2 linked regions of the Drosophila melanogaster genome follow. The protein of the gene in region 1 interacts with the protein of each later gene in a biochemical or structural test. Each region holds a gene or a part of one and is shown on either strand. Other genes may lie near its edges.

Region 1 (5,699 bases):
TGGATTTAGGTATAAGGGAAGCAAGACTCTCCCGATAAGAAAGAACGGAACTTTTGGAATATATATTCTTTTGAAGAATTTTACTTTACTTAATCAACTTAAAACATTTAATAAATGTTTGCGTGTGTTATATGCTAATCGAAACGATGGTAGAGGACTTAACATAAGATGCGTTCTACGTATAAAAGATATTCAGCTTCTTTTGAAGAAATCTAATAAATACTAAATAAATGGATAAAACTTTCAATTGTTTTTTTGAAGTTTTTTTTTTATTGTTTTTTGATTAAATATAGTGCCGGTGGTGCCCTACCTAACTTTGCAGTTGACAACTTCCGTGGCGGTGCAGCACATAAGCTTTCATCCTTCACCCAAATCACCGACCGACGTTGATTGATGGGTTCGATTCATTTCCCCCAGTTCGACAAACAGTGGGTAGAAAGCTTTGCAGCTCCCCGCTGCACATGAAAAGCTTTTCAAGCGGGGAAAACCATTCGACTCGTGCCAAATTCCAGAGACATTGCACGCACTTTGACACCCATCAAGAGGCGTGTGCCGGGTTTTGGCCAATAACTGGGCAGGGGGGCGGCTATATCTGGCCATATCCAGGTGGGGAGGGGTCGGCACACTTAGCGTTTGCCGGTGCTAAACGAGACGAAACGAAACAAATGAATGAAAATATTATGTGGCCATAGAAAATGTCACTCGTCGACGGCGTGAAGCAACTAAAAAGCCCGAACTGTCTTGAGAATCGCGAGGCGCATTCGGCCAAGTTGGTGGTTCTACCATGGCCTCTTGTGTTGTTGTTGGCGCACAGTGGCTAATGTCCCGAGCCAACGTTGCTGCTCCATAGACACTATGAAATATTGTTGCCAAAATACACACACGAATGCGGCCCGAGACGGACCCGTAAATAAGACTGGAAGGTGCGCGAAATTTCGAATGGTGGTGTCACTAAGTTGGGCTAAGTTGACGCCCTGTGCATCACAAGCTTACACAAAATATAGTTTAATTAATCTAAATTAGATTTGAATTGTAATTATTATTATTTGTTTACATTTCAATATACTTTAGTAAGATAAACAAAGAACAATATTCTTACTTATAAGCTAACAAGTAAGCTGGCTGGACATTACTCATACGCACGGTGGCCTTCGGTCATTTGGTATTATTGCATCATCTAATATTATTGCATCTTATTTTGGCTTTTAATTCCAAGATGTGTTGTTTACATTATCGTGGTTTATTTAGGATTATGTGCATCACAAAGTCAAAATTCCCAACTAAGTGTTTTATAAATGGGCCAAAGCAAACATTATTACAAGTTTTTGTTAATTAGCCTTTTTAATTACCCAAAAATTGCGTTGTATTCGGAGCCATTGTGCTTAGTCTCTAACATCGGCTAGTCCCATCAAGATATCGCCGCTTTTCAAGATTTAATTGAGCCGGCACGTTCGCTGGACGCTCGGTCATTACAACCATGTCGCTCACCTTCCGCGTTCATGTGAGGGAAAAACAGCGACGCTTCGTCGCTGGCTTTCAGATACAGATACAAATCTGAATGAAATGTCGCCGCGGCTTATCAGATAAGTTTGGAGCGCGCTGGAGTGCGGTTGCAGGCTGCTCTCGGGAATCAGAATTCGAATCGAAATCAAATTAACTCGATAACTTATTGAAGAGAAGTCGGGCCCCCTAGAAAAACAGCCGGGAATACGGAATACTGAATACTGAATACGGTATACGGATCTCGACCTCGTCGGTAATTTGGTGCGTTTGCGTGCCAGTCGAGTATCTGAATCTTAGAATCGAGTATCTAGCATTGCGAAGCGCGAGTCCAGACCTGTCCCTCCTCCGCCCGGTCGCCTCCAATAAATTATTATAATTAGCATAGTTGAGGGGACATCGAGTCGCAGCCGGAGCCGCAGCAGTTAAACGGCAGTGGAATTTAGCGCTGTTAGTGGAAATTTTGTGAAAACAAAAGGGGAAAAATTCCAGGCCGCCGGCGCCATGTCCGCTGGCAATATGAGCCATGATCTTGGACCGCCACGCGATCCGCTGGCCATCGTGATACCCGTAACGGTGGTCTACTCCCTCATTTTCATAACCGGTGTAGTGGGCAACATAAGTACCTGCATTGTGATTAAGAAGAACCGTTCAATGCACACGGCCACGAATTACTACCTCTTTTCGCTGGCCATCTCGGATTTCCTGCTCCTGTTGTCGGGCGTTCCGCAGGAGGTGTCCTACATCTGGTCCAAGTACCCGTACGTGTTTGGGGAGTACATCTGCATCGGACGTGGTCTGTTGGCGGAGACATCGGCGAATGCCACGGTGCTAACGATTACGGCCTTCACGGTGGAGCGGTATATTGCCATTTGCCATCCGTTTCTGGGCCAGGCCATGAGTAAACTCAGTCGCGCCATTCGCATCATCGTCCTGGTTTGGATTATGGCCATAGTTACGGCCATTCCGCAGGCTGCCCAATTTGGAATCGAGCACTATTCGGGAGTGGAGCAATGCGGCATAGTGCGGGTCATAGTGAAGCACTCATTCCAGCTGTCCACGTTCATATTCTTCCTGGCTCCGATGTCTATTATCCTAGTGTTGTACCTACTTATCGGTGTGCACCTGTATCGATCCACTTTGGTGGAGGGTCCTGCCTCGGTTGCCAGACGGCAGCAGCTGAAGAGTGTGCCCAGTGATACGATCCTATATCGCTATGGTGGATCCGGTACCGCTATGAGTTTCAACGGCGGAGGAAGTGGAGCAGGGACAGCGGGCTTGATGGGCGGCTCGGGGGCTCAACTTAGCTCGGTGAGAGGTCGGCTCAATCACTATGGCACCCGGCGAGTACTCAGGATGCTAGGTAATTATAGCACGATATACACTGGCGAAAAATACCAGCAATAGTACGGGGGTATCACAAATTAAATGACAGATCTCTAAACCGCTAACCATTAAGTAAACATGACTTAATAGTATTCAGATGATTAAATTAGTAAGAAATTTTGACAAAAACAAAAGTAGAAGACTCCGTTTTTAATAAGGTTTAGTCTTCTCACAAAAGTCTTGCAAATTAAAAATTCTGAAATATGATATCTAAATCTTTCTTTATATGCAATGAAGAACCATTTTAGAAGCTTTACTTCAACTTTTGCTCAGTGTATGCCAACTGTTTGACCATATGCCCTAAGCTGGGCTAATCAACCCGTCTGCAGCCAATTTACTGCGTTTGTCATTTTGGCACTCTCCATTTATGATGACAATTGCGATTACCAAAAAATATAATCGTTGACTCTTTATCTGTGACTCTCGCTGTGTCTTCCCCATTTCCATTGCCATTCCATTTTCATCCCCACGTCACTGACTTTTACCGCCCCCCCCTCCCCTTTAGTGGCCGTGGTGGTGTGCTTCTTCCTCTGCTGGGCCCCCTTCCACGCCCAGCGACTGATTGCCATCTACGCCCCTGCACGGGGGGCCAAACTGCGGGATCAGCACGAGTTTGTCTACACGGTGATGACCTATGTCTCCGGTGTCCTCTACTACTTGTCCACCTGCATCAACCCGCTGTTATATAACATTATGAGCCACAAGTTCCGAGAGGCATTCAAGGTGAGTAAAACGGAAGTGGGGGTTATAGTATGCGCAATACTATATTTCAAATTTATCTGTATTATAAATATTTATATATATTTATTAATATATTTATTAATAATTCGAATGTCTGAATTTTTCTATTTAACTAATTACCTTACCGATTTCCCACTCCTTTAGGCCGTTCTGTTTGGCAAGAAGGTATCGAAGGGTTCGCTGAATTCGCGAAACAACATCGAATCGCGCCGCCTGAGGAGGGCACTAACCAATTCCAGTCAAACGCAGCGCTTCTCCATTGAGTCGGCGGAGCAGCCGAAACCGTCGATAATGCAGGCAAGTGCCCCCTATAATCAATGGATAGGTTCGATATTAACTGGCTCTCTCTCTCTCTCTCTCTCTCTCTATGTGTACTCCACATCCAGAATCCGACGAACAAGCCGCCAGTCGCCGCTCAGTACGCCATGATCGGTGTCCAAGTCAACTAACTGATAAACTCGAACTCACTCTCTCGTGCGGCTTCCTGATGCTAATTTATTTGAATTCTGTTTAAGCCAGTTATTTGTCGTCTATTGCTATTGCTGCTGCTACCAAAGCGTTTTGTTTAAACTGCTTTTGCATTCATTTGCATTTGGCAATTAAAAGTTAATCACAGTCGAGCGCACACTCTCCCTTAAGCATTAAGTTTTTCATTCATTCAGCTGCGGACAACGGCTGGAAAAACTCCTAAACTAGTCTTTCAAGTATTCAGAATTATTCAGTCTAAGAATATTCAATCTTTTGACTCATACTATTCAGCATACTGGCGCTCTTAAAATTAAACTTTGGTCAGAGCTCGGGGGATTTACTCTTAAACAAGCCTGAGGCGGATATAACTTAATAATATTATCGATAATGGTAAGCATAAATCAATCACTAGTGAACGCCCACCATTTAAATATAGGAATTAAATTTAAAAACGAAAAGCTTGCCCCTTGAAATTTAATAGATCGCCTTTTAAATTGCGTAGATATATGTTTTAGTTAACCAAATGTTTCACATGCATACCAAAGTGTAACACAGATGTGCTTTTAAAGTGTTTAGTTAAGAAAGTGTAAAAAAAAATGTTGCGATCTTAAACATAGTAGATTCTGTATATTGTATTGAATCGCATTTAAAATAAGATTTCGAAAATGTAGCATTCAACTCAATGGAAATGACGGACAAAGTTCGCTTACTAAACTTACTTCTAGAGATACCTTAAAGGATGAATTTGCTGTATTAAGATTATTCCCATGGCTGCAAATAAAGCTTAGCATATTCCGCGCCCGCTTATTTTCCGCATCTTTCTATGGATTCATTCTAGTAAAAATGTAATTTGGCCATAAAATACATTTGGGTTTTTATCGATTGTGGCCCTGTCGTCTGCGCCTTGTTGACTACAAATGAAATTCTAATGAGGTGGCTACTGGTTCAAGGTCATGCAAATGCAGGGACAACGTGGCGCATTAGTAATCCTCCAAATTGTTATGAAAATGCAATCAGCCAAATGGAAACCCCAGACGAATTCACAGAAAGTGCAAGTACTAGTAAGGATTGGCCGTAATGAGCAACCAGCAATCGCATTAAAGCGACGCAAATGCGTCAAAGTCCAAAGCGCAGCGGGCCATAAAGGAGCAAACAAGTCAGATGGCTAAAACAAAAACGATTTGTTCTGCCAACGTCACGTAAAGCCAAAAAAGAATTGGCTCAATACAACCGGCAAGAGGAGCAAAAGCCACGTACACACCCATACGCACACATGTCCGCAAAGTGACGTAGAAATTATGAAGTTTGTGATTTACGAGCAAATCGGGCAAGAAAAAGCAGCAGGAAGGTGAAGCGGAAAAAACGACAAATGGGTGAGTTAAATTACTATCCAAACTTGGGATACCTTGTAATAAAGTAAGTTTTAATACACTAAATTGAAGAAAAAGAAAATATACCTTTCGAATTCTTTGGCTCAGATTTTTTAAGTACTACACACTCGTAAAATTTATTTATTTATTTATTCAAAATTTTAAAAAAATTTAAATAAGCGATATTTTGACGCACAATATTTAAACTTTTCTTTCAGATGACATTGAAATACT
Region 2 (4,156 bases), about 16 Mb from region 1:
CTCCCAGCGAAAGTCCATGGAACGGGCACAGACGCTGCATGACAAAGTGATGAAGCTGCTGGTCAGGAGGTACATTACGGCGGAGCAGAGGCGGCGGGACGATTACGGCATTACCGAGGATGATATCATTGAGGTGCGCCAGGACATCAGCTCCTTGCGGTTCGAGTTGCTGGAGATTTTCACCAACAATAACTGGGATGTACCCGACATTGAGAAGAAGTCGCAGGGTAAGGGAAGCCTACCCACATCCAAATTGGCAACTTACACGTGTCTTAAGATAGAAGTAGCAGTATATATGAATAATTATTTACAATTAGCTTTTGAATACCTAATAAAGTTCACCCCATCTTGAATATTAATTTGAAATATGTTGTGCTAGAAGACTACAAAGCTAGAATGGATTTTAATGGATTTTATTCACTAAACTTACTTTTGAAGGAGTTGCTCGAACCACCAAGGGCAAGGTGATGGAACGTCGCATCCTTAAGGACTTCCAAATCGGCTTCGTCGAGAATCTGAAGCAGGAAATGAGCGAATCTGAGAGCGGACGAGATATATTCTCATCGCTGGCCAAGGTCATCGGCAGAAAGAAGACCCAGAAGGGGTAGGTCCACTTAAATCTGTAAGACGCTTTGAATAATGGTTATTATTCTCAACAGAGACAAGGATTGGAACGCCATTGCGAGGAAGAATACTTTCGCCTCCGATCCCATTGGCTCCAAGCGCTCCTCCATGCAACGTCATAGCCAGCGAAGCTTGAGGAGGAAGATCATCGAGCAGGCGAATGAGGGTCTTCAGATGAACCAGACCCAGTTGATTGGTAAATTAATAAAGATGTGCCCAATGTATGTATATTTCCATACCCTTGATCTCCTCCAGAATTCAATCCCAACTTGGGTGATGTGACGCGTGCCACAAGAGTGGCTTATGTCAAGTTCATGCGGAAGAAGATGGCTGCCGACGAGGTTTCCTTGGCCGATGACGAGGGTGCTCCAAATGGCGAAGGCGAAAAGAAGCCACTGGATGCCTCTGGGGTACGTTCCAATCAATATATGTATATGTATTCCCTGGCTAATATATAATCTCACTTGCAGTCTAAAAAGTCCATAACTAGTGGTGGAACTGGAGGAGGAGCTTCTATGTTGGCTGCAGCTGCTCTAAGAGCATCGGTTAAGAATGTGGATGAAAAATCCGGAGCCGATGGCAAGCCCGGCACGATGGGCAAGCCAACGGATGACAAGAAAGCAGGTGATGATAAGGATAAGCAGCAGCCTCCCAAGGACTCCAAGCCGTCAGCAGGTGGTCCCAAGCCCGGGGATCAGAAGCCAACTCCGGGTGCGGGAGCTCCAAAGCCCCAAGCAGCTGGCACTATCAGCAAGCCCGGTGAGTCACAAAAGAAGGACGCTCCGGCACCACCAACCAAACCTGGAGACACCAAGCCTGCTGCGCCGAAGCCTGGAGAATCCGCCAAGCCCGAGGCCGCTGCCAAAAAGGAGGAGTCTTCCAAGACCGAAGCTAGCAAGCCGGCAGCCACAAATGGAGCAGCCAAGAGCGCAGCTCCCTCCGCTCCTTCGGATGCCAAGCCGGATTCCAAACTGAAACCTGGAGCAGCTGGAGCACCAGAAGCAACTAAGGCAACCAATGGGGCCTCCAAGCCGGACGAAAAGAAGAGCGGTCCGGAGGAGCCAAAAAAGGCTGCAGGAGACTCCAAGCCAGGAGACGATGCCAAGGACAAGGATAAGAAACCCGGCGACGATAAGGACAAGAAACCTGGCGACGACAAAGACAAGAAACCTGCTGACAATAATGATAAGAAGCCAGCCGATGACAAGGACAAGAAGCCGGGAGACGATAAGGACAAGAAGCCGGGTGACGACAAGGACAAGAAGCCGAGCGATGATAAGGACAAGAAGCCTGCCGATGACAAGGACAAGAAGCCAGCAGCAGCTCCTCTGAAGCCGGCGATCAAGGTGGGTCAGAGCAGTGCCGCAGCTGGCGGAGAACGAGGCAAATCCACGGTCACAGGACGCATGATCTCCGGCTGGCTCTAAGCCGCGGAATCCACTTTCATAGCAATTAAATAGTTAAGTCCTTTGTTTGTGTGAATAATAAAAAAAAAGAATCTCAAGTACCACGTTTCTGCAACTTGTTGCTAAAGGCCACCTGTTGCCAGCAACATCTCATTTGCATCGCAGCAACATTCATCATCCGCCCCGTTGTTCCGATGGCAATTTGTTTGTCTGCCATCCATCCGCCTGCTTTTCTGGCCTATAAAAGAACGTGAACTTCGACCAGAGGAATCAGAAGAACCGTGACCGTTCCGAGGATAACATCAGACCGAAAAACATATTCGCCAAGCCAGTGTTTCGTCCTAAATAGTCTTGCAAATATGAAATCTATGTTGGTCCACATAGTTCTAGTGATTTTCATAATCGCCGAATTCAGTACAGCTGGTGAGTGGTGGAAACATTACAAAATCGCTTTTAAGGAAATCTTAAACAACAAACTAGTCTATCTCGACTAAGTGCTGCTGCTATCTTTTGTTAACTTTAAAGTGAAAATAGTTAAATGCTTTTTAATAATGTTCAATAATATTTTGCAGCACCTTTAAAAGAAAGAGGTAATGGTAAAAAGACCTTTCCAATTTTTCATTAAAATGTTCTACTTAGAAAAGTTGTTTATTATTATTTTATTAACTTTTTTTTTAACACTTAAAGCACTTCTTGAAGAGGCATGCAATTTAAGTCGTACACAGTGTCTTTTTATATCAAGCTCTTTAAATCAAAAAGGTGATTTCAAATCTAACCGCTGAAATAATAAAAGCCACTTAAGAAGAGTTAAATATCAAAGAAATAGTTGTGGCACTCTAAATCTATAATTCAAATTTAAAAAAGGTTTTAATCACAAAAAGCCTTAATAAAAATATTCAAGTCACTTGAGTTACTTTGGCGGTTAGGCTACGAAAATAGCTTATTCCACGGAGACTTAAGAACAATAAGATGAGAACATTTGAATAAATTGCAATCCCCAAACACTCCATTCAGAGACGGACCACGACAAGAACCGACGAGGTGCCAACATGGGGCTCTATGCCTTCCCGCGCGTTGGTCGCAGCGATCCCAGTCTGGCCAACAGTCTGCGCGACGGATTAGAGGCCGGAGTCCTCGACGGCATTTACGGAGATGCCTCCCAGGAGGATTACAATGGTAAGTCGTTGCGGCCGGATACGGTTGACTAATTGGTCCTAACGCCCCGGGGACGCATGTGCCATTCCAGAGGCTGATTTCCAAAAGAAAGCCAGTGGTCTGGTGGCCTTCCCACGCGTTGGCCGCGGTGACGCCGAGCTGAGGAAGTGGGCCCACCTTCTGGCTCTGCAACAGGTGCTGGACAAGCGCACGGGACCCAGCGCCTCCTCGGGATTGTGGTTCGGTCCCCGGCTGGGAAAGCGCAGTGTGGACGCCAAGTCGTTTGCGGACATCTCCAAGGGACAGAAGGAACTCAACTAGACACACTGACTCCCCCTTTTGACACTCTGAATGTCGTAGATACTTTTGTATATCAAAGAGAACGCTTCTAATTGAATATTGTAACGGGTATACAGCAAATATGTTTTTCGGTCAAATATATATTATGAATAAGGGCTGGTGAGAGCTTGTAATTAATGTCTTTGCGTGTCCTTCTTGCCATTTCAAGTATGTAAATATAATAAATCATATAAAGTAGCCTGCTCAAGTACCGCGTTACAACTGGGATTCCTTTTGGAGTATTAAGAAAAGTTTATTCTAAATGAATTGCAAACAGTTTTGGTTCGGACATGAATGATACGCCATTGCCATGACATGGCTAAGATCATCCGTTGTGGGCTCTACTCCTGCTGTTGCTTGAACTTTCGTAGCTCGGACTGTATGGCCTCGATAAGGGGTGCAGTTCCCGTTCTACTGCCCGATGGAGCAGTCGCATCCAATCGGGCCTCCATCCTCTGGAAGGGTCCTGCGCTCACTGGACGATTCAGGGTGGAGTGGGAGCTGTACATACTCCCACCTCCCCAGGCACTGTAAGTAGGCGACGGAGGTTGCGTCGAGTGCGCCGACTTGGACGTCTTCTCCGGCTGAGCGGTTGCCGGACGTTCAGCTAAGCTCTTGGGTTCCGCCGAAGG

The links.
Region 2: of the proteins of PK1-R (region 1) and Capa, one has a biochemical effect on the other in vitro, tested with the Drosophila melanogaster proteins (one study listed by BioGRID).

What each region holds. Positions count from the first base shown.
Region 1 is NT_033777.3:14,099,023-14,104,721, reverse strand, and holds PK1-R (pyrokinin 1 receptor), read left to right. Parts: upstream 1-1,599; 5' UTR 1,600-2,004; coding exon 2,005-2,863; intron 2,864-3,391; coding exon 3,392-3,609; intron 3,610-3,771; coding exon 3,772-3,924; intron 3,925-4,013; coding exon 4,014-4,076; 3' UTR 4,077-4,890; downstream 4,891-5,699. UniProt on the Drosophila melanogaster protein: Receptor for the neuropeptide CAP-3/pyrokinin-1 (TGPSASSGLWFGPRL-amide). Also activated weakly by other neuropeptides terminating in the sequence PRL-amide including pyrokinin-2, Hug-gamma, and ecdysis-triggering-hormone-1.
Region 2 is NT_033777.3:29,912,491-29,916,646, reverse strand, and holds Capa (capability), read left to right. Parts: upstream 1-2,300; 5' UTR 2,301-2,389; coding exon 2,390-2,453; intron 2,454-3,044; coding exon 3,045-3,206; intron 3,207-3,276; coding exon 3,277-3,506; 3' UTR 3,507-3,656; downstream 3,657-4,156. Other genes in the region: trp (transient receptor potential), read left to right, coding at 8-227, 439-604, 660-820, 880-1,034, 1,095-2,051; CG31036 (uncharacterized protein), read right to left, coding at 3,866-4,156. UniProt on the Drosophila melanogaster protein: CAP-1 and CAP-2, but not CAP-3 are ligands for the Capa receptor. CAP-1 and CAP-2 are probably components of the signal transduction pathway that leads to Malpighian tubule fluid secretion via the second messenger nitric oxide.